3 linked regions of the Struthio camelus genome follow. The protein of the gene in region 2 purifies or fractionates together with the protein of the main gene of each other region. This does not show direct contact. Links are inferred from orthologs where the notes say so. Each region holds a gene or a part of one and is shown on either strand. Other genes may lie near its edges.

What was found. Proteins that work in one complex are often made in the same cells at the same time.
Region 1: the proteins of cAMP-dependent protein kinase catalytic subunit alpha (region 2) and GPR161 purify together in Homo sapiens (affinity purification with mass spectrometry; 3 studies listed by BioGRID and IntAct, counting the BioPlex papers as one, with this or other methods). This does not show direct contact. The link is inferred for Struthio camelus from reciprocal best matches to the Homo sapiens genes PRKACA and GPR161.
Region 3: the proteins of cAMP-dependent protein kinase catalytic subunit alpha (region 2) and AKAP7 purify together in Homo sapiens (affinity purification with mass spectrometry; 4 studies listed by BioGRID and IntAct, with this or other methods). This does not show direct contact. The link is inferred for Struthio camelus from reciprocal best matches to the Homo sapiens genes PRKACA and AKAP7.

The regions. Positions count from the first base shown.
Region 1 is NC_090942.1:97,614,881-97,622,584, forward strand, and holds the start of GPR161 (G-protein coupled receptor 161), read left to right. Parts: upstream 1-4,255; 5' UTR 4,256-4,365; coding exon 4,366-4,808; intron 4,809-5,356; coding exon 5,357-6,081; intron 6,082-7,569; coding exon 7,570-7,674; intron 7,675-7,704. Other genes in the region: TIPRL (TIP41-like protein), read right to left, coding at 219-319. UniProt on the Homo sapiens protein: Key negative regulator of Shh signaling, which promotes the processing of GLI3 into GLI3R during neural tube development.
Region 2 is NC_090972.1:4,065,175-4,073,386, reverse strand, and holds the start of cAMP-dependent protein kinase catalytic subunit alpha, read left to right. Parts: upstream 1-4,983; 5' UTR 4,984-5,058; coding exon 5,059-5,104; intron 5,105-7,953; exon of another isoform or gene 7,954-8,070; coding exon of another isoform or gene 8,071-8,080; intron 8,081-8,212.
Region 3 is NC_090944.1:71,235,426-71,242,963, forward strand, and holds the start of AKAP7 (A-kinase anchoring protein 7), read left to right. Parts: upstream 1-4,089; 5' UTR 4,090-4,106; coding exon 4,107-4,185; intron 4,186-4,329; exon of another isoform or gene 4,330-4,619; intron 4,620-7,417; coding exon 7,418-7,538. UniProt on the Homo sapiens protein: Probably targets cAMP-dependent protein kinase (PKA) to the cellular membrane or cytoskeletal structures.

The sequences.
Region 1 (7,704 bases), on a different chromosome or scaffold from region 2:
CCATTCCCACTTCTCCAGCCAAAACAGCAAGCTTACACTGGCAGAAGGAGAGAAAACGAAGGAAAAAAAAAAAAAAAGAAGGAGTTGCTGGTGGGAGCAAAGGCCCGCCTTCCCCCGTCAAAGGAGCATTATTTATCTCCTAGGCCACAGCTCCGCAAGCGCCTCGCCTGCGGGGAGCGAGGTCCCGGCGGGCTCCCCGCCGCCCCGGCCCGCCTCACCTCTCGGCCTGCGCTGACTTCATGATGTGCGTCTGGGCAGCGCTCAGCTTCCAGGGCCCGAAAGTGAAGTCACGGCGGCTGCTCTGGAAAACGGGGTGCATGGCGGCAGCGGGGGGGGGTGGGTGGGGGAGATGTGGCCCCGCCGAGGAGAAGGCAGCCGGGGACGGAGGAGGCGACGGCTCCACTCCAGCCGGACGCCACTAACGGTAACGACGCCGCTAACACCTCCGTCAACTTCCGGTTCCGGGCTGCTGCGCGCGCAGCCCCGGAAGGCGCTGCAGGCGGGGAGGGGTGGGGTGTCACGTGACAGTGGGCTGGGCGCCATGACGGGGGCGGGAGCTTCGCCCCGTGCTCGCGGGGACCTGCATCGCCGCCGGGGGGCGGCGGGTGGCTGCGGAGTGCAGCCGGGCAGATGGTTAGGCGCGGGCGGGCAGCGAGCTCAGGTAAGCGTCCCGCGAAGCCCAGCTTCAGCCGCCGACTGAAACGTCACTAGTTGTCTTTTGCTGCTGCAGACGCACACCTTGCGTTTTGTGTGTGTTACATACGTACGTACGCCTGCAGTCTCCTGCGCTGGGTTGAGCTGCTCCTGATTGCAGTCCAAAGATGATCTTTAAAGAACGTCAAACAAAATATGATAGTATTGTGAACCTAAAATCCTGTAGGAAAGGAGTGACAGAGCGGATTAAAATCTTCTATCGTTTCAGCGTGGATGGCTGGATGCTCATGTTGTGTTTGTGTGTCATCAAAAGGACAGACTAACTCCCCAGGAAATTGCTGTAGCATGTGAGCATGAATGATAGTCCTACTTGGTCTTTTGGAAGACCGTAGAGTCATGGCAAGCCAAGAGAACAGCCATGGCAACATGCCACATGTAATGCAAAGAACTATATCTATCTAAGAACTATTATCTGTTCTAAATTAACAGAGCCACAAAAAGTTCTAAATTACACAGCAAAGCTGTGACTTAGTCAGAGCAGTCACAGTGGAGCACTAACGGCCTTGCCAGGATTTGGAGAAGCTCAGACTTAGGAATGCACAAAAATGGTATTTAATTACCCTTGGTCCTTTACGCTGCACTGTCTGTGCCTTGCTTCCTGAAAAAAGGCACCCCCCCCCAAATTTACCCTGGTAAGACACCTGTATTTCTTTTAAAAGTCTCTTATGGTCTGGGAAGTCTAGGAACGTGTCCCCCTTTGTGCCACTTACTTGTTCTGTGTGCTTGGGCAAGTCATTTCATCTGCTGATCTGTGTAAAAATTGATTCCTTCCGACTGAACCTCCGAGGGTTTAAATAAAATGGATGAAGGCTGTAAAGAGGTCTGACATAGCACAGACTTGATTCGAGTGCCTTAGGACCAACCTGCGCGGTAGCTGGTAACTGTCCCCCTTTCGCAGGGCATTTGTGTTGCTTTCCCAAGGCAGCACAGCAGATAAACGGCCCTGCTAGAAGGCCGCTCTCTCCCCAAACGCAGATACAGTTGATTCAGAGCAAGTGGTGCCGGAGGGACGAGCTGAGGTCAGCCGGACCCGACCCGTTTTTGGAGAGGCAGCTCGTCTAACCGACTCCTGACGGTGGGTGTTCAAACGGGCCGGGGTGCGGGCGCTCCCCGCCCACAGACTGCTGCCCACCGGGGCTTACGGCGGTAAGAGCGGCCCCGCTGGCTGCCGCCTGCGGCCCCAGCCGCAGAGCGGGATGGGGCCGAGGGGAGAGTCCGCCGAGGAGGAAGCGCTCCCGAAGGTGACGGGGAAGCCCGGACAGAAGGGACGGGGGCAGAGAGAAAATGGAGGGAGGCGGAGCGGGAGGGGAGGGGAAGGCGAAGGGAGGGGGCCGCCGCGGCGGGGAGGAGGCAGGGGCTTGGGCATGGCGGGGGGAGGGTCGGGCCGCGACTCGGGGCCTCTCTCCCGCCGGCGGCGGTTGCGGGGGGCCCGGGGCGCTGTAACCCGAAACGTCCCGCCCTGGCGGCGGCGGCGGCGGGCGCGGCACGGCGGGGCGGTGAGTGCGTTGCCGGGCAGCGGGCGCGCGCGCCCGGGCCAACGGCCGTTACGGGGCGGGGAGCGGCCGTTGCGGCGGCCGTTACGGGGTTTGGCGAGGGGGGGAGGGGAGGGGAGGGGAGGGGAGCGGCCGTTACGGTGGCAGCGGGGCGGGGACCCCGCTCTCCGCCGAGGGGGCGGGCGAGACGAGGCGGGCTGAGGGATGCCCGGCCCGGTGGAGGGTGCTCTTCCCCTCCCCCTCCCCACCTCGGCCCGTTGTTGTCGTTGGAGGGGGTAAAATGGAGGCTTTTTCCCGGAGCCTCCCGGCAGCGGCGGAGGGGGCCGTGAGGAGCCCTGCCCGGAGTCGGGGCTGCTTCCCGCCACCTGCCCTGCCTGCCGGCCCTGCGGCATCCCGCGGGCCCCGCGGCGGCGGCCCTCGCCTCGGTAGGGCTCCGCGGAGATGTTGCCTCGCTCTCTGCTCGCCTAACCCTGGCGGGCTGCGCTAAACAAAGTAGTGCCCCGCTCGGCGCGGCCCCCCCCCCCCCATTTTCTCGCCAGCTGGTGCCGCAACCCCGCACATGGTTTTAATCAGGGAAGCAGCGCTGGCTTTCTGTCGTGCGTGTGTGTCAGCATGCCTGCTCCCTGCTGCTTTCTCTCCCGGAGAGGGGTTCAGCCGGTGGCCGGCCGTCCAGCCCAGTGGCCAGTGTGCGGTTGGCACTGGTAGCAGTGCTGGCCCTGGGCAAAGAGACACCCCCCCGCCCCAGCCCCTGCTTGTCCCACCAAGCAATTGCCCCTGTCTGAGCTGGGGCTCACAGAGCCAGGCCCTTTGGCCGTTCTGCTTAACTGTTTCCTCCTGGCTGATGGGCACGTTTGCTGGGCATCCCCCCACCCCGCCTTTGGGTAAAGCAGGATTAGATGCAACTCTGAGGGGAAGGGTAGGAGCGCGTGACCTGGGTGTTGCTGGAGGCTGTGGCCACTCTCGGATAGCCTCCTTTCTAGAATCCGCGCCTCTTTAAAAGGTGTTGGAAAGACTCACAAGTGAGCTGCAGCCATATTTTAAAGATAAACTTTAAGAGAAACGCTATTACGCACAGTCGGCAGTTTCACTAGAGAAGAGTTAAGCTAGATTTTACGAAGCGTGGCTCAGTAGTGTCTTCAATTAGGCTCTTAGGAAGGCACAGATAAAAATTGAAAAAAATACATCTCTGCAGCCTGACAGTGTTGCTTAAGGCCATAACAACCTCACGGATGGAAGAGGTTCTTCAGTACTCCTGGTGATTTGGGAACAATGGATGGGCAAAGCCGAGATACCCTCAGTGGGCCGCTGATTTCCAAGAAATGTTAAGATGAACTTCGTTTTATTTGTTGCACGCTTTTTTTGGTTGTTCGGTTTGCACACATGCATTTTTGGTGTTTTTTCAGTGTGCTGGTCTGCAGATGGGTGAAAGATTGAATTAAGCTATTAGGAATGCTTGTGGTAGACAGCAGGCAGAAGGCTGCTGCAGAACCGGGGGGAATACTGAGCTCTCACAAAACTGAGGTTATGAGGCAGGGGGATGGGTGTTGAGCAGTGATCACTGTGGTAGCTAAGGTGATTATGTACATGGAGAAGTGACATTAGGAGAATATGTTGCAGTGCTCCCAGATTCTTTGAATGTTACCTAGCAACCGTTAAGAGTCAGCAGGGTATGACTAGCCAGGCATCCACAGACCACTGAATAGCAGTTGCTACCTAGGCAGAATGCAATGTCGGGATAAGCAGACAGGAAAAAAAAAGACTTTTTTAAAATTGAGAGAAACAAAGACTAATTGTTACATTCTTCCTGTTTCTTCACAGCCTAGATGAAGGGACTGAGTGAGATGTACAGCTGGTAAGTATGGCTGATCAGTGCTTAGAAGCAAGTAAGATCCCTACAAAAATATTAAATGTTTTAATTTTCTTCTTTATTTCTTCCTTCCTCCGTCCCTCTCCATCCAACTCTTTCTGTCTTTCAGACAGTTTCTCCCCTCTTCTAGATTTAACTCTATCATTGACCTCTTTGGCGTGCCTATGGGCAATTTCCTGCCCCTTTGTTTTCCCATCCAAAACGATTTGCTGTCTCCTACAGGTAAAGTTTAATTAATGCGAGTAAAAGAGCCCTTGATCTTTGGAGAGGAGGTGAGGAAATCTTGCCTGAATGTCTCTGAGTGTTGTTGTTCTGCTTCTAGCTCCTCAGCATGTCTTGGCTGCTCCAGCTCTGCGCGCTCTGACAATGAGCAGCAACTCCTCCCTCATCAATGTGAAGGGCCTGAGGAACCTTACCACGCTGGAAAACGGGGCTGTCAGAGTCACCGAGTCTATTGCTATAATTGTCATTGCCATTTTCATCTGTTTGGGCAACCTGGTGATTGTCGTCACCCTCTACCGGAAGTCTTACCTTCTCACTTTGAGCAACAAGTTTGTGTTCAGCCTGACCCTCTCCAACTTTCTCCTCTCTGTACTGGTACTACCTTTTGTTGTCACCAGCTCCATCAGGCGGGAATGGATCTTTGGAGTTGTTTGGTGCAACTTTTCAGCACTGCTCTACATGCTGATCAGCTCAGCCAGCATGCTCACTCTTGGACTCATAGCTATAGACCGGTAAGCAGCGCTTTTACAGTGAGTGAAAACAAATTGTCTAGTCGTTTCATAGAATGACTTATTGGCTGTTCACAGGGTTGAGAAGCACTGCAGTGGATGACCATACATAACATTTTAATGACTTTCCATTAATTTAATTCACCCCTCCCCCATGAGATTTTGACACAGAATGGAAGAAAGTGCTGTCCTCGATAATGCAAAATGCTTTCATGCATCTAGAGTTTGTTTAGAGCTGTTTATGGTATAATAACATATTACTTGAGAAACAGTAAGTAAACACAATTCCAAATATAGGCTAAGCGTGCACTCACGCAGAGAGACAGAGTTAATAGCTGCGTTTGTGCCTTCAGGTGACTTTCACAGTCTTGCCCGCAAAGATGCGGATTCTTAAATAAAACTGTTTATAACAGGGCCCCTGAGCCCACTTTGAGGTTTGGAGAGAAGAGCTTGTTCTGCAAAGGTGACTAGATATCAATACCATTAAAATATGTTCCTTTTTTACTGTACTTTTTGTGTGCTCCTATTGACTCTTGCTTTTTGTCCACCAGGTACTATGCTGTCCTATACCCAATGGTTTACCCAATGAAGATTACAGGCAACAGAGCAGTGGTAGCTCTTGTATACGTGTGGCTACATTCCCTTATTGGCTGTCTCCCTCCCCTCTTTGGCTGGTCGTCTTTGGAGTTTGACCAGTTCAAATGGATGTGCGTGGCAGCCTGGCATAAAGAGGCTGGCTACACTGCCTTTTGGCAGATCTGGTGTGCGTTGCTGCCTTTCTCGGTCATGATGATCTGCTATGGATTCATATTCCGTGTGGCTAGGATTAAAGCCCGCAAAATCCACTGTGGTAGCGTGGTTATTGTGGAGGAAGACTCGCAGAGGAATGGGAGGAAGAACTCCAGCACCTCCACGTCCTCTTCAGGCAGCCGAAGGAATGCTTTCCAAGGAGTTGTCTACTCTGCCAACCAGTGCAAAGCTTTCATAACCATCTTGGTTGTCATCGGTGCTTTTGTGATTACATGGGGGCCTTACATGGTAGTAATTACGTCAGAGGCGCTTTGGGGAAAAAATAGTATTTCCCCTGCCTGGGAGACGTTGGCTACGTGGTTGTCCTTTTCCAGTGCCATTTGCCATCCACTGATTTATGGACTCTGGAACAAAACGGTACGCAAGGAACTACTAGGAATGTGCTTTGGGGATCGGTATTACCGCGAGTCCTTTGTTCAGCGGCATAGGACATCAAGGCTATTTAGCATTTCCAATAGGATCACAGGTAAGACGTAGTTATGAAAGACACTCTTCCTTAGTATTAGCAAGAACAGTACTTGGTGTCTATGTGTACGTGGCGTGTCTCGAGGCTCTGTAAACAATGTTCCTGGAGGTTTCAGGGGTCTTTTGTTCAAATTATTATAGACGCTTGGAAGGAGGCTGATTTTTGTGGGAGTTAATCTCTCTTACTCTAGTAATAAATTTTCCCAGAGAAGACATAGTGATGAGATTAATAAAAATTACTTCTTTTCTCTCTCCAGCTCTTCATCTGTGCTTATTAGTATTTTGTGGTATCCAAATTTGAGCACTATGAATAATATATCCTGTGGCACTCGTGCTCTGATTCCTGGCTTTATGCTGTGACTCTCTGAACTTTACTGAGGTTACATTGGTCTTAATATTTCTATAAATTCAGTTTTTAGTCTTAATGGTTGTGAAGGAAATACTGTAACTGGAGAAAAACCATCCCATTAGATGCCTTCCTGCGTTGCAGGCCAAGAGCTCCAATGACTATTCAGCTGCTCAGAGGGTTTTTAAGTTGTAGCCCAATGAAGTTGTGATTTCTGATCGTTTTCCTGATCTTATTCAGAATGCTCCGAAGCTCCCCAAATCTAGGACATCACGATGTTCCTTGGGACATTGCCTGCAGAGGCAGGAACTGAAGGTATTTAATTGGGAAAGAAGATCTAAAATGTAAAAGGGAGGGAAGAGCAGCAAGGCATCCGTTATCTTTTCTGCAACCTGGAATCACTGGGAGAGACTCCACGTAAATGAAAGAGTTCTGCAGCTGCAGCCACATCACCAGCTGCTAACACTCCTCCCTTTAGCAAATCTGTATCTGGGAGATGTTGTGGATGAATTCATTGGAAACTGAGTTGAGTTGGGAGGGAAAAGACAAAGTTTCTTTCTCTTTCCAAGTGACAAGAAACTGACAGCTTCAAATTTATCAGGTGTAGCAAGTGGAGGCTGAGAGGAAAAAAACCACAAAGTCCTTAAGCAGGATCCAAAGACAGCGCGTTTGCCACAATCCTAGAATCTCCTCCCTTCCTGTTTTGGGGATGTGAAAGAAGGCAGGCATCTCAGTGCCCCAGTCTCACTAGTGACCTTGCTGCTACGCTAATGGTCTGTCACAGCTGCGCATGGCTATCAGTTTGTTCTCTGGCTAGGAGGTGTCTGTCACCATAGCGCATGTCTGCTCTACGTTCAGCCTGGCTTGCTGATAAATACATGCAATTGCAAAAAGAGTGGGAAGGAGATGGCATAGATAGAAAGGAGACTTGCCATATAACAGTACTCCAAGGGTACATGAAAGCTTCTGACTGGGTTTCTAAGATGGAAAGTCCAAATGCTTGCTGTACCCTGGGATCAGTGGGGTAAGTTTTATGGAGAGAAGGGTAAATAAGGCGACAGACTGGGTATTGCTGGAAGAGCTTTTTACTATTGTAGACACCCTAAGCATCCAGTGTGTGATGAGGATTAAACTGTTTTGCAGATTTGGGACTATCTCCCCATCTCACTGCCCTCATGGCAGGTGGACGGCCATTAGGAAACAGCAGCAGCACAGGAGACACAGGTTTTAGCTGCTCACAGGATTCAGGTAACTAAAAGTCTCTTGCTCTCTTTTCTT
Region 2 (8,212 bases):
CTCCTTTTCTCGAGACAATATGGTAAAAGAGAAGCCCCCCCCCCCCCACTGCCCCACAGGGGACAATCAGCTTGCCCCACATCTCGAGACATTATGGTACCAGGAGGGATAGGATCGTCCCCCCCCAGGCTGTCCACACATTAGGGTACCGGGAGGACAAACGTGCCCCTACCACGCTCTCCAAATATTACGGTACCGGGAGGAGCAGCCCATCCCGCTGGCGGGAGCAATCGCAGGGCTCTGCTTCTCCAGACATTACAGTACCGGGGGAGACTGACCCCCGCCCCCCCCAGTGCCGGGAGCCAATTGATGGCTCCGCCTCTCCAGACATTATGGTACCCGGGGTGGGGGGGAACAAACCCCCCAGAGGCGGGAGCGAACTAAAAGCTCCGCCTCTCCAGACATTACGGTACCGGGAGGGGGGAGTCGCCCCCCCTCAGCGGCGGGAGCGATCTCGGGCCTCCGCCTCTCCAGACATTACGGTACCGGGAGGGGGCGTCGACCCCCCCTCACCGTGGCCGGAGCGGTCTCACGGCTCCGCCTCTCTAGACATTACGGTACCGGGGGTGCCCCCCCCCCCCACCCGGCCCCGCTGCTGCAGTGGGGGGGGGCGGTGCCCCCCCCGGTCCAGGGGCTGCGGGGGGGGAAGAGACCCCCTCCTCGAGCTGTCGGCCGGGGGGGCCGAAATAAGCCCCCCCATTGGAATATGCGCCCTCCCCGCTGCCCCCCCGCACTGCGCGCCCCTCCCATTGCAATCCCCCCCATTGCACAGGCCCCCCCCGCACTCCTGATGGCCGGGGGGGGCTCCATTCCCCGCTCCCCCGACTTGGCTAGCCCCCCCCCCGTTTTACACGGGTCCCCATGGCACGGAGGCCCCCCCCCGCATTGAACGACCCCCCCCTCTGGTTTTCATGCCCCCCGCCCCGCATCTCCCGGTGCTCCCCGGACAGCACGGTGCCCCCCCACTGCACGATGCCCTCCTCTATATTGCACGGCCCCCCCCACTTTGCATGACGCCCCCCGGTTTGCACGGCCCCCCCCCCGCACTGCACGGCCTCCCGGTCTGCTATGCGCCCCCCCCCGACATTGTACGCCCCGCATCGGCGCTGCCCCCCCTTATTGCACAGTGCCCCCCACCCGGTTTGCACGGTGCCCCCCCGGTTTGCACGGCGCCTTCCCCCTCATTGCACAATCCCCCCCCGCATTACACGCCCTGCACCGACGGTGCCCCCACCCGCTTTGCACGCCCCCCCCCGTATTGCATGATACCCCCCCCTCTTTGCACAGCCCCCCCCGCTCTGCACGGCGCCCCCCCCTCCCGCATTGCACACTGTCGCTCAACCCGCACGGGTCCCCGCATTGCACGCCCCGCACCGGCTGTCCCCCCCCCCCCGCATCGCACGACCCCCCCGGTCAGCACGGCGCCCCCCCCCCGCGATGCACGACCCCCCTCCTCTTTGCACATCCCCCCCGGGTCTACACGGCGCCCCCCCCGCATTGCACGCCCCCCCACCGGCTCTGCACGCCCCCCCCCGCCCCGGCGGCGCCCGTACCTGCGGGGGCGCGCGGGCCCGGGGGGGCAGCTCCATGCGGCGACGGCGCGGGCGGTGCGGGCGGCGCGGCCCCCCCCCCGGCAGCGCCACCCCCCCCCCCCGCGGCGAGCACCGCTCGCCCCGCCCCGCCCCGCCCGCGTCACTCACCGGGGGGCGGGGCGCCGCGCGGCCCCGCCCACAGGGCCGCCGGTACCGGGCGGGGGGGGCGGGTGTGAGGGGACCGTTATGGGGGGGGGGGGTGAGGAGACCGTTATGGTGGGGGCGGGTGTGAGGGGACCGTTATGGGGGAGGGGATGAGGGGACCGTTATGGGGGGGCGGGTGTGAGGGGACCGTTACAGGGGGGGATGAGGGGACCGTTATGGGGGGGCGGGTGTGAGGGGACCGTTATGGGAGAGGGGGTGAGGGGACTGTTATGGTGGGGGGATGAGGGGACCGTTATGGGGGCGGGTGTGAGGGGACCGTTATGGGGGGGATGAGGGGACCGTTATGGGGGGGGCGGGTGTGAGGGGACCGTTATGGGGGAGGGGGTGAGGGGACCGTTATGGGGGGGGCGGGTGTGAGGGGACCGTTACAGGGACCGTTATGGGGGGGATGAAGGGACCGTTATGGGGGGGCGGGTGTGAGGGGACCGTTATGGGGGGGGGCGGGTGTGAAGGGACCTTTACAGGGGGGGATGAGGGGACCGTTATGGGGGGGGCGGGTGTGAGGGGACCGTTACAGGGGGGGATGAAGGGACCGTTATGGGGGGGGCGGGTGTGAGGGGACCGTTACAGGGACCGTTATGGGGGGGATGTAGGGACCGTTATGGGGGGGCGGGTGTGAGGGGACCGTTATGGGGGGGGGGCGGGTGTGAAGGGACCTTTACAGGGGGGGATGAGGGGACCGTTATGGGGGGGGCGGGTGTGAGGGGACCGTTACAGGGACCGTTATGGGGGGGAGGATGAGGGGACCGTTACGGAGGAGGGAAGAGCATGAGGGTATCGTTAAAGGGGGGGGGCAATCACGTGAGGTGCCCGGTAACGTGGTGGGGGGAGGGTTTACCGTGTGAGGAAGCCGGTAACGGGGGCGGGAGGGGGGAGCGGTGCGGGGCAACAGCCTCTTCCCGCCCTGGCGGCAGGCAGAAAACCTGGTGCGGATTTGCCCCCGGGAGGGGAGCGGGGGTAAAACCCGGCCTGGATCTACCCCCTGGGAGGGGACTGGAGGGTAAATCCCGACCTGGATCCGCCCTGGGAGGGGAGCGGGGGTAAAACCCGGCCTGGATCTACCCCCTGGGAGGGGACTGGAGGGTAAATCCCGACCTGGATCCGCCCTGGGAGGGGAGCGGGGGTAAAACCCGGCCTGGATCCACCCTTGGGAATGGAGTGAGGGGCAAAACCTGGCCTGCCATTCACAGACAGCACGGAGGGGGCTGGATAGGGCGGGGGTCAAGGGTCACCCCGGTGTCACGGGCAGGCCCCGCCCCCTCCCCCGCCCGGAGTCCAGCCTGACTTACGGGAACGGGGGAGGGGCAGGCCCCCCCTCCTCCTTTGGGGGAGGGGGCTCAGATGTCCTGGCAGCCCCTGCCCCACCCGATGTACAGACACGCGCGTGAGCACAGACACGCACGCACATGTGAGCACGGCCAGCCACACGCCTGAGCAGGGCCTCGCACACGTGAGCACACGCGTGTACGTGTGTGAGCTGGCACACGCACACATATGTGAACACGGCCCTGTGCACGCACGAGCAGTGTCACGTGCACGCGCGCGCTCGCACTCATACCAGCGTGGTCACGGACACGTGAGCGCACTGCTGCACAGAAAAGGTCACGCATGTGCACACGCTCCCTCACACATGACCCCCATCATGCATGACATAGTCATGAAAACATATTTGCACGTGCGTGGGCGGATTGCCACACAGGCGTGTGTGCAATCACACGTGTGTCAGTGCAGCCACGTACGTGTGAGCAGGCTCTCACACGTGTGACCACCATCACACACATGTGCATGCAGCCATGCACGAGCAGGGTCACACGTGTAGGTCACATGTCCCCTGCCAGCAGGGGGGGATGAGGAAGAGCCCTGCTGCTGGCTATCATTAGCCCTGCTTATAATTAGCATATGCAAATGGCTTCACTGGGGAGGGGGGGTCTGTAGTCAACAATGGGGGAGGGGTAATTAGTGCCAGTAATTAGTGCAAGGCGAGAGCGGGAGTAGGCTGGGGGAGTGTGCAAGGGCCATGCGGGCAAGGAGCTCCCATGCAAGGCTGGGCTGTGAGCATCTGGGGCAAGTTTGTGAGGGCCAAGTGTGCAAGGAGCCCCGTGCAAGCTGGGTACAGAAGCAAGGGTAAGCGTGCAAGGGCTGAGTGTGCAAGGCGCCTGGTGCACCAGCACACAGGGAGCTGGCACAAGGGAGCAGCGTGCAAGGAGCTCTGGCGCAAAGCCGGAACGTGAGCGCGCACGATGGGCGTGCAAGGGCGGTGTGCCAGGAGCCCCCGTGCAAGGCTAGGCAGCCCCGGGGCGAGTGTGCAAGGGCCGCGTGTGCAAGGCCGGGCGCGCGCATGCGCGGGGAGCATGCGCGAACAGCGCCCGGGGCCCGGCGCCCGCTCATGGCGCATGCGCGTGTCGGGGCTGCGCCGCTCCGCACCGCGCCCCGGCCGCCATTCGCCCCGCCCCCTCGCCCTTCCCATTGGGCAGCCGCTTCCCTTCCACCCTCCCCATTGGCGGCCTGGAAGAGCCTGCCGATTGGCGGCGGCGCGCGAGCGGGAGGCGGGGAAGCGGCGGGCGCGCGCCTCTCCCGGCGGCGGCGGCGGCGGGCGGCGCGGGGATTGGCGGGGCGGGGCGGCGGGGGCGGGGCAAGGCGGTGCCGGCCACTACGGGAGCCGGGAAGCCCCGCCCTGCTGCCGGGGGCTGATGCAGGCTGGGGGTGGGGGTGCAGGCGCAGCCCCACGGTGAAACCCGGGCCGCCCCGCTCCCCTCGGGGCTCCTGGGCCCCAAACCCGACGGGGGGTGGGGCAAGAAGGTGGGGGAGGTGCGCCAAGCGGGGGGGGGGGAGGGACGCCTAGCCCCTCCCCCCACCCGCCTGGCCCTCCAAGCCCCTCCCCTCCCATCGCCCCGCCCCCGGTACCCAGCTGTCTCCACGCCCCTCCCCACTTACTGTCAATCACCGCTGGTCCCGCCCCCTCAGCTGACGCCCCGCCCCTCCCATGGACCTTCTCTCCCCCCCCGCCCCCAACCCTCCCGGGTTCTATTTTTAGCCCGCCGCAGCCAATGGGCGGCTGGCGGGGGCGGGCCGAGCGCCGGAGGGACGGGCCGGACAGCCAATGGAAGGCGGCGCGGCGGCGGCGGCCGGGCCCAATGGCTGCGGCGGGGCGGGCGCGCGAGGCGCGGCGTCAGAGGCGAGCGGCCAATGGGACGGCGCCGGCGGCGCGGCGGCGCCAATGGGCGGCGGGGGGCGGGGCGGGGCGGTCCGCCGGGGAGCGGGGCGGCCGGGCCGAGCCGAGCCGAGCCGAGCCGGGCCCGACATGGGCAACGCGGCCGCGGCCAAGAAGGGCGGCGAGCTGGAGAGCGGTGAGTACCGGCGCCGCGCCGCCCCGGGCCGGCCGCCCTCCCTCCCTCTCTCGGCGGGTACCGGGCGGAACCGGGCCGGGGGGAACCGGGCTCAGGTGGCAGCAGGCCGAGCCGGGCCGAACCGGGACAACCGGGCGAGGGTGGGCCGGGCCGAGCTGCGCCGGGGGGAACTGGGCCCGGCGGAACCGGGCTGGGCTGGACCGGGGAGGGGGATGAGCTGGAGGGGAACCGGGCGGGGCTGGGGGGGAACTGGGACCGGCGGAACCGAGTCGAGCTGGATCTGGCGGGACCGAGCTGGGACGAAGTGGGACCGGCGGAATCGAGACAGGCCGGACCATGAGGGGTGCCGGGCCCGGCGGAACCGGGTGGGACCGAGGGGATCTGAGTCGGGGGCAATTGGACCCGGGGGGCCCTAGGTTAGGCTGGACCGGGGAGGAGGGGCACCGGAACCGGCGGAAGCGGGCCGAGCTGGATCGGGGGCCACCGAGCTGAGGAGAACCGGGCCGGGCTGGAGCCGGGGGTGAAGCAGGCCGAACCGGGGGGGGGGACCAGGCTGAGCGCGGGTCAACCGGGGGTCACCGGGGGGGGGGGAGGAGGCCGAACCGGATCGGGGGGAGCCGAGCTGAACCGAGCTGGACTGGGCAGGGACCCCCGGGGTGGCGGGGGCGGATCCGGAGGGCACAGGGACCCTGGGGCAGTTTGCCCCGGGGGAGGGGGTTACGGTGGGGGGGCGGGGCTTGGCGGAAGGGGCGGGGCATGCCAGGGGTTGCCATGGGCGCGGGGGCGGGGCGCGCGGGGGCTGCCAGGGGCGCGGGGGCGGGGCGCGGGGAAGGGGCGGGGTACGTGGGCGTCGCCATGGGGACGGGGCGGAGGTGGGGGGGAAGGGGCGGGGCGCGCAGGGGTTGCCATGGGGACGGGGGCGGGGCACGTTGGGGGTTGCCATGGGGATGGGGCGGGGCCTGGGGAAAGGGGCGGGGCTCGGCAGGTGCAGCGGGGGCGGGGGGGTCTCTGGCGCCTCCTCCCGCCCCCACGCGGGTCCCGAGGTCAGCGGGGGGGCAGCCCGGACGCCTGGGTCCCCGGGGTGCTGGAGACACCAGCAGGCTTTGGGGGTCCAGGCGGGTGCTGGGGACGCTGGTCTGGGGGTACTGGGGGACACTGGGGACTTTGATCTGGGGGTCCAGGCGGGTGCTGGGGACGCTGGTCTGGGGGTATTGGGGGACACTGGGGACACTGGTCTGGGGGCCCAGGCGGGCGCTGGGGACGCTGGTCTGGGGGTATTGGGGGACACTGGGGACGCTGGTCTGGGGGCCCAGGCGGGCACTGGGGACGCTGGTCTGGGGGTATTGGGGGACACTGGGGACGCTGGTCTGGGGGCCCAGGCGGGCACTGGGGACGCTGGTCTGGGGGTATTGGGGGACACTGGGGACGCTGGTCTGGGGGCCCAGGCGGGTGCTGGGGACGCTGGTCTGGGGGTATTGGGGGACACTGGGGACGCTGGTCTGGGGGCCCAGGCGGGTGCTGGGGACGCTGGTCTGGGGATATTGGTGGACACTGGGGACGTTGATCTGGGGGTCCAGGTGGGTGCTGGGGACGCTGGTCTGGGAGTATTGGGGGACACTGGGGACACTGGTCTGGGGGCCCAGACGGGTGCTGGGGACGCTGGTCTGGGGGTATTGGGGGACACTGGGGACGTTGATCTGGGGGCCCAGGCGGGTGCTGGGGACGCTGGTCTGGGGGTATTGGGGGACACTGGGGACGCTGGTCTGGGGGCCCAGGCGGGTGCTGGGGACGCTGGTCTGGGGGTATTGGGGGACACTGGGGACGTTGATCTGGGGGCCCAGGCGGGCGCTGGTTCTGGGGATATTGGTGGACACTGGGGACGCTGGTCTGGGGATATTGGGGGACACTGGGGACGCTGGTCTGGGGGCCCAGGCGGGTGCTGGGGACGCTGGTTCTGGGGATATTGGTGGACACTGGGGACGCTGGTCTGGGGGTATTGGGGGACACTGGAGACACTGGTCTGGGGGCCCAGGCGGATGCTGGGGACGCTGGTTCTGGGGGTATTGGGGGACACTGGAGACACTGGTCTGGGGGCCCAGGCGGGCACTGGGGACGCTGGTTCTGGGGTATTGGGGGACACTAGGGATGCTGGTCTGGGGCCCCAGGCAGGTGGGTCCTGGGGATGCTGGTTCTGGGGATATTGGGGGACACTGGTCTGGGGGCCCAGGTGGATGCTAGGGACTCTAGTCTGGGGGTATTGGGGGGTACTGGGGACGTTGATCTGGGGGCCCAGGTGGGCGCTGGGGATGCTGATCTGGGAGTATTGGGGGACGGTGGGGACACTGGTCTGGGGGTATTGGGGCGCACTGGGAATATTGGTCTGGTGGCCCAGGCGGGTGCTGGGGACACTGGTCTGGGAGTATTGGAGGGTACTGGGGACGCTGGTCTGGGGGCCTAGGCAGGTCCTGGGGACACTGGTTTTGGGGGTCCTGGTGGACACTGGTTTTGGGGTCACGGTGGCCATTGGGGACACCAGCACTTTCTGGGGGTCCAGGGGGAACTGGGGACACCAGTTTCAGGGTCCCTGCAGGCACTGGGGACATCAGCAGGGCTTGTGCGTTCAGGGGACACTGATTTGGGGTCTTGGTGGCCACTGGGGACACCAGTTTGGGGGTCTGTGTGTCCCCCCGTGGCGGTGTCATGTCCCCCCGTGGCGGTGTCATGTCCCCCGATGGCACTGTCCTTAACAGCGGTGCCACATCCCCTAGAGTCCCTTGTTCCCCCCATATCGGGGCCGGTGGGGGCATGGGCCATACTGGTCCATACTGGGGGGGGGGTGTCCCCGTGGCCTGTCCCCGCCCGCGTCGCTGCCACCCCGGCCCCAGGGACAAAGTCTGCGCACCCCCCCCTCTCCCGGGGTCATCGCCCTGCGGCCGCCTCCTCCCGGACGCCTGGGCCCGCGCGGCATGGAGGACGGTGAGGGTGGGGGGCAGGGTCCGGACGCCTGGGTCCTCGCAGAGAGGCTCTGGGGGTGGGGGTGGCCGGACACCTGGGCCCCTCTGCCCTTCGTCCGTCCCCCCCCAGAGGCCTGGGGAAGTTTTGGGGTGC
Region 3 (7,538 bases), on a different chromosome or scaffold from region 2:
CCTTTCACCCTAGTCCCCAGAGCTCCTAATCCACTCTGGGTCTCCCATGTCAGTATCACCATGTCCATAATAAGCAACAAAATGTTAACAGTCTGATTCAAAATGTAACAGATTCCCAGACTTTGGCCTACTGGCTAAAAGCACACTCTGGGGCCAGTATTTGCTGTCCTTAGGAACAGGCCATGTGCGATATGACCACAGCTCCTGTGAGCAAGCAGCATTTTCTCACCAATTTCTTTCACTGCCCATAGACAGCAGAGGACCTGTGGAGCTGTAACTCCATATCCTGTCAAATAAAGCCCTTGAATGAGAGACATGACAGTGAAGTTAAAATCCTTTTCCATCACTTGGAAAAGAAGAAACGAGCTCAGCCAGGCAACAGGGAATAGTAAAACAAAAAGACCATATGGTAGTGTCTACTTCTGCTTCTATATAGATATTCAACAAAGGAGAAAGGCTGGAAGAAGAGGATTGAAAAGTCAGGTAAACTTTAGGACAGCAAATGTGGGAAGATACTTTTATGTTGATAGGTGGGCACTACATAAAAAGGAGAAGGATATGTATCTGTGGGAAGAAACTTGGAAGTGTCTGAAACAATGCCTTGACATTAATGGTATTTGAGTATGCATGCTGATCTTTAGGCAGTGGCTCTCATCCAAATGGTAGCAAGTTAAGAACTGCTGCTCTGGATAATCAAATTTTCAGTGGATTCTCCATTCTGTTCTCCCCTCCTGCAATATAAACGAACTGCTTATCATTAACAGATCATGAAAATATCCACACATGCTAATATTTTCCACATTAATTTTCATATTCATGTTAGACGCCAATTAAACATTAAACTACAACCGATAGCATCTTCATGCTCTTCTTCCATTCACACTGGTTACTGCAGAAACCCTAGCAATATTTGCTTTTCGATCTCACACTAAATTACTTTATGTCAGGCACTCCACTACCTTTCATTTTCTGGTATCTGTAGTTCTGCAGCTTACACTTCTCATTGTTCTGTAGTAAATTCTTATTATTATCAGATCATGCTCAATTCCTCTTCTTCATTTGTCAGAAAACAAGTTTTTGTGTCAGCAGCAATAGTAACAAAGCCTTGTTTCATACCAAATATGTCCTCCTTTCTTGTCACAATAACTCAAGCTTCCCCTATACTGTCCATGCCTTAGAATATCCTCAACTCCGTCCCACATTCCACAAAATATCCCAATGTTCTCTTCCAACATTTAGATCTTCCTGTAATAGAATCTTCCAGTTCCTGTCCCTTTATTTCCTAACCTCCCGCAAGTCAGTTGTGCCCCAGATACCCTTAGCTCCCCCATATCTCTTGCTTGGCTGAGATAAGAGGTAATGTTTTGCGACTGCTTACCTGTGACCTAAAAAGCTGATCAATACTCATGGCCAGCCACGGTTTACTGGAACACAGACAGGCAGTGTTGTTTCTCTCTTCTCCCTATGAGTGTCTCTCTCCTTCCTAACCACTCATTTTCAGGAAAGGTATGGGAACATCCTCCTCTGGGTCCTCTTACTCTCTGCCAAATTTGATTGAAATTACCAGGTGAATTAAGAAACAATAAGATGGGTGAGATGCTTACAGGCATGGGCAGTGTGGTTGTACTAAGCAAATACATTGGTAGGGCTGGCTGTGCTTCCTCTTTCTGTTAGTGTCACTCAGCTTTCATTGGGAGTTCTGAATTTTGTCTCCTCAAAGGGAAAACTGTCTCACTGAAAACTTAAGCAGAAACTCTTAATAAAGGCAAGACCAGAGTAAAACTGATAAAGTGCTGGCTTTAATGCAAACTTAAGCAGTGATAAAAACCTGTGTGGTTTGCTTCAATGAGGCACCTGATCAGTGACCACTAAACTTGTGCTGTATTTGGGCAGGCAGAAAAATCAGTGCTTGTTATTTAGCTTTACAGTCTTCAGATGAGAATTTTTCCTCACAGCCACTTCTATGACTTGTAGGAATAATTCATGATAACAATTATCAGCTCCAGCTAATGTGCTTTTAATTTCTCACTTCCTGAAAAGGTTTATTCAGCCATCTTATGAACCCAAAGGATACATCAACAAATTAGTGCTATGTTAGTGGGTATTGGCTAGGTATAATTTTAGTTCTGCTAAAAATGCATTATGTTTTCCTCCACTGCTATGAGGAATATTAAATGCTAACTTATCTAAATATTGCATTGTACTGCCCTGTCAACCATACAAACAGAAATGTTCTTATTAGAGTGTGCTGAAGATTTCAGCAAAATACCTAGTGATTTGACTGGGAGCAGTTTCAGATCCAAAACCATTTTCTAAATTTGTATTTCTACAAAGACATCTAATACCAAAAGTTTATCCTGTTATTTGATCTATAACTTCATAGAATCAAATTTTTATTGACATATTTTACTCACTCAAGAGATGACCACTTAAAACATTTAGTTTCCTAAGGATAGCTGATATTTAGGTGAAACACATAATATGGAAAATTGCCATCAGCCTTATCCTAACTAAAGCTTCTGTCAGATTACACAGAACTTTGATTTCTGTGTCACAACCAGTCTTTGGGCTCCATAGGTCTGTGCAGACCAAATTCATGTGTGAAAGACAGTGAAGGCAAATGCAACATGAAATAGGCCAAACTAGCAGTGAGATACCCCCAGACAGATTTTATCTTCCAGAAGGGGAATGCATAGACAAGCCAAACACAGAAACTCACACATAAATGCTTGTAACATGCAGCTTGTGCATGCAGCTTCCTCCCTTCTGTGGCTTTTTTTTTTTTTTGCCATCCCTACTCCCTTTAAAAGTGAAAGTAAGGATTTGTATATGCATGTAAACAATCAGCTCCTTCAGATCTGGTCTATATGCAGAGACTGATCTGCAGAAACACAAGGCAACATTTGGCTTGGCTTCTTCCACAGAATGTAGAAACAGAATTTGGCTTCCAAGAGGCACAAAGTCTTTATTTAAGTAGGAAAATAGTGTCTTGCATTCCTTTGCCTCAGAGAAACAGCCTCTCACGTACACCCAAAAGGTTCATTCCCAATAGGAGATTGTGCAGTCACAGTAGGAGCATTATTGCCAATGGTAAGAGTGGCCCAGAGCTATGTTAGAAGGCTGGATGACCACATAAAGGATGGATGTTTAATGCAAGACTATCTGTTCTCCCTGGACCACAGCTAAAAGGATGGAAATCATTGCTTTGGTTTGTAAAGTTCTTTGAGTAGTCCTAAGGTGCAAGTGGTTAATTTGAAGAGTCATCACCTCAAAATACTCTGACTAGTTATGGGCATTCTGTTTAGCAGAATGCAGTAAAAATTTTGTTTAAATTCCGCACGGAAAAAATATATATTTCCTGTTTCAGTGCACAATATCTAGATGCCTTCAACTGGGTATAGGATGGCTCAGCCAAAAAAAAAAAAAAAAAAAAAAACGCTATGGAGTTTAAGGTACGGAAAGAGGAAGGGTAGGGAATCTGCCCAAGACGTGGCCAAGGCAGCCCGGCTCTGGTGGATCAGCGTCCACCGCCTCCCCCCCTTCACGGGCAGGACGTACGCGCCGAAGGGAGGGCCAAACTCCCCCGGGGCCTAGGTGGGGCCCAGCCGCACGCACGGCAGCCGCCACGGCCCCAGGCCTCCAGGCGCTGCGCCTGCCCGTCGCGGCCGGGCCCGGGCCGGGCCCTGGGCGCTCAGCCGGGCCCCGCACCCCCTCCCGCGGCCGAGACACCGCCGCCGCCGCCGCCGCCGCCGATCCCCGAACCCGCCCCGCGGCCGCCGCGCCGCCTTCCCGCCGTGCCCCGCGCGGGCCGCCGCGCGCGCGGCATGCTGGGGCTTGTGGTCCGCGCGGGGCGCCCGGCCTCCCTCCGCGCGCTGCCGCCCGGGGCTTTCGCCGCCTGTTGCCCGACAGGCGCCGTGGCGGCCTTTGGCCCTTGTCGCGCCCCGTCGCCGCCCGGCGGGCGCGGCCTGCTTGCCGTTACCGGGGCATGCAGCGGCTGCTCCGGCGGCTGCTCCCGGCGGCTGCTCCCGGCGCTCTGCCCCGCGCGGGCCGCGGCGCCGGCTCCCGCCCTCTTCGCCCCGCCGGCTCGGCCCGCGCGCCCGCGCCCCATGGCGCTGCGGCCGGCGGCGGCAGGAGCGGGGGGCGGCGCGGGCGCCTCGCGCGCAGCCGGCGAGTCCCCCGAGCACGGTGAGGAGGAGGAGGCGGCGGCGGGCTGGGCGGCGCGGCGCGGCGCGGCGCGGCGCGGCGCGGCGCGGCGCGGCGCGGGGGGGACGGAGGCCGGCGCCGGCCGCGCTCGCCAGGCCCCTTCCCCGCCCCCCGCCGCCGGAGGGCGGCGCGGCTCGGGGGGGCTCTGCCAGGGGCCCTGCGTGCGGCGATGGCGCGGGCTCGCCGCCGCCGGCCCGGCCACGGGCAGGGCCCGACGTGAGGAGGTGCCGTGGCGTGGCCCGGCCTGTGTCCAAGGCAAGCGCTCCCGGCCCTCACGGTGCCTCCGTTAATGGCAGCCGTCTGCCGATCGCAGCGGAGCAGAAAGTCCTGGCGAGCTGTGACCTGGAGTGGTTTTAACGTGTGTTAATGCGCCGTCGCCTTGTAACGGTCAAGTTACGCACAGCTTTAAAACCCAGGTGAAACATGGTGCAGAGGAGTTCATCCGAAGACGTGTGTGCGCGCGCGCACAGGCATGCCTGCGCACCTCACACTGAGCGCCAGGAGGAGCTAGATTTCGCAGCAGTGGTAGTAGCGATCACAGGGAAGATTGACTCAGTCCAGTCGTAGGCTGTTGCTAAAAAGGGCTTCTGCTTTCATCTTCTGTGCTTGCTGTACTCTGTCCCCAGGCTTGCAGTCAGTTTAAGCATCCGATCTGGCTGAGTACTAAACCTACCAAAGTTTTTTTTTTTTTTTTAGAGGAAGTTTTTTTAAGCTGAGTCAGTTCTCTGGCTGTGTAATTGCTATTGCTAGCACCAGCGGTTCAAGATGTCTGGAGAGTAAAACGGTCTTCTTCTGCAGCAGCTTTCAGTTAAAATGTCTCCAAAAGATTCATTTGTTATTAAACATAAGGGAATAGTGCCTGGAGACCTAACCTCACTGTAGTCTCTAATGTGTAGATGTCAAATAATAGAAGACTGTTTTATCTGAGAGGGCAAAAGGCTGGGAAAGGAGTACAATCAGTTATCTTTTAAAAAGCAAGACAGCCGTTTCTGCTGCTTGATTTTTTTATTCTCTGATTTGTGAACTAGGTGTATCTTGATTCTAATGGAACAGAGGACTCAAATATTCAAGCAAACAGCAACCATTTAAGCAAATACAAATATAACAGTACTGTAGAGTCCTGTTCACATATGAAGTTCAGGCTAATGTAGTTAGTCATGGAATTAAAAGTAAGTTTATCTTTTGACAGTTTTAATGCTCAGACAGTTCCTATGGAAGCTGATTTTGTTACTTATGTCTCGTATTATCAACATTATGTCAAGACTTTTGAAGAATCTTGTTTTCGGTTTGTTTTAGTGACTAAAATACAACTTTTGAATTTTGTTACTGATTTCTTTCATAAACAGTTTATTTCAGAAAAGGTGAGGGATGGAGTTATTTCCTTGGGACTGTAGGATTTAGAAGCAGTGCCTGTTAAATTCAGGTACTTGACTTGGGGAGGGCCGTTGTTAAATACTAGCTGTGCCCTTCCTATGCCAAGCTATTACTGTGAGCAGACGGAGTTTTTCAGCTTTTTAAGCAGTCAGAAGACTAACCAGCATGTGGCTGGGGTCAGGGAAAGGGAGCAGGACTACCTCCTTTGGCCTCAGTGAGCTGTTAGATCGATTCAACCCACAATGTTGAACCTCACCCTCAGTGTTGATTTTTGCTTTCAGCTGGCTATCGTTTTGCCTTTCTGAATCTTTTTGGTAACTGCCGCAGAGTGACCTTCTTGTTTGTCTGTTTTGTGGATTTGGTCTTGTCTTTTAGATTGTGATCTCTTTAAAGGAAGGATTGTTATTTTCTGTATGCTTGTGAATCGGCAACAATAGAGGGATTCTAATCTGTTTTGTGTAAGCTGCATTTGAATCTAAATGTTAGGCAAAAAATATATTGCTGCTTTAAAATCTCTTTGTTCTGCATGATTCTTTAGTGTCTGCAGGGGGAACTAGCAACCAGTCTAAATACTTATTCTCTTTAACAGCCTCTGGCATAACTTGAGGTGTCAGGCTACAACCACAGAGTGATTTATGCCTCCCTACTTCAGGCTGAAATGAGTTAGCCCTTAATCAGATTGTTCTATTAATTATCTTCCCTAGCACAAAATGATATATGCAAGAAATCTCTCCAGGGTGATAATAACCCAGGTTGAGTCTGTACCATTGCATACATGCAATGTAGTTTTGCATGCCACGAGAACATAATACGCACTTTTGCTGCCAGATTTTCCCCTTGGGGCAGATTTGGAATATCGGCACTGGTCACAAGAGGAGCTTTGAAAGTGTATTGTCTGTAGTAATGAGCTGTCCTGTGATAAACTGAATTCTGACGTAACGCTTCTTCCACTACAGTAATCCCATTGTGGAGTTGTCCCAAAGGAATATTGCTGGATCTCTGATTATGTCCAAATTTTTTATGAAATATGCTAGAGGAGATTTTAGTATTTTATTTTTTAAGGTATAAGTTATATATGGAAATGACTCATGCATAGTTAGTACTCTTTGAGGGAGTGCAGAGGGACTTTTTATAGCTTTTTAGTTTAATTGTGGTACTGCTAGAAGATAGATCTGTGTATGTGTATATCTATAAATCCTTATACATGCAAAATGAATTGTGAGTTACATTGGTTCCTTTTTTAGCTTAAATGCTAAAATTTAACTTTTTAGAACCACAGGTTCAGATCACTGTTGTCTGTAGCACACCGTGCTGTGTATATCTGCAAGAAGAGGAAGAGAGTAATCATCTCGTTCCTGAATGATATAGTCATCTGAGAACTCATTGTTTTTATATGTAAATGGAAGGTTCCCTTTCTGCTCCTTTTTGCCTCGTTTTCCATGTGGTTATATTGAAAGTCATTTGTCGTTGTTTATCTACATTGACGTTCATTTGTTGTTACTGTTATCTATAGTGAACTTCAGGTGACGGCTAAAGACTTCTAACGCTCTATGTGAAATTTTTTTTGCACATATTTGCCTTTACTTACAACTGAACAAAAACATGTGTTACCAAAAGTAGAAGGCTGAAATCCCTTTCTCTCTACTTCACACAGTGTTGAAGCGTTTTTGCTGATGTGCTGACACAGGAAGAACAGTAGCATTCTTAAGGGGGCTATATGTCAGTATTTATTGGTTGATAAACAGAGAAACATATACTTTGTACTTTGCCTGTGTGCACTGTCTCTTAGTTGTTTGTATTGAAATCTAAGACCCGTTGTGTTGTTTTAAATATATTACAGATGGGCTGGAAAATGTACTGGAGAAGAAAATTTTTAAAGAGAATAAAGAAAGCATAGAAGAGAGAAAAGAACAATGTGCTTCTGCTTTTTCTATAGACTCTCTGATGGTAGAAATGCCATT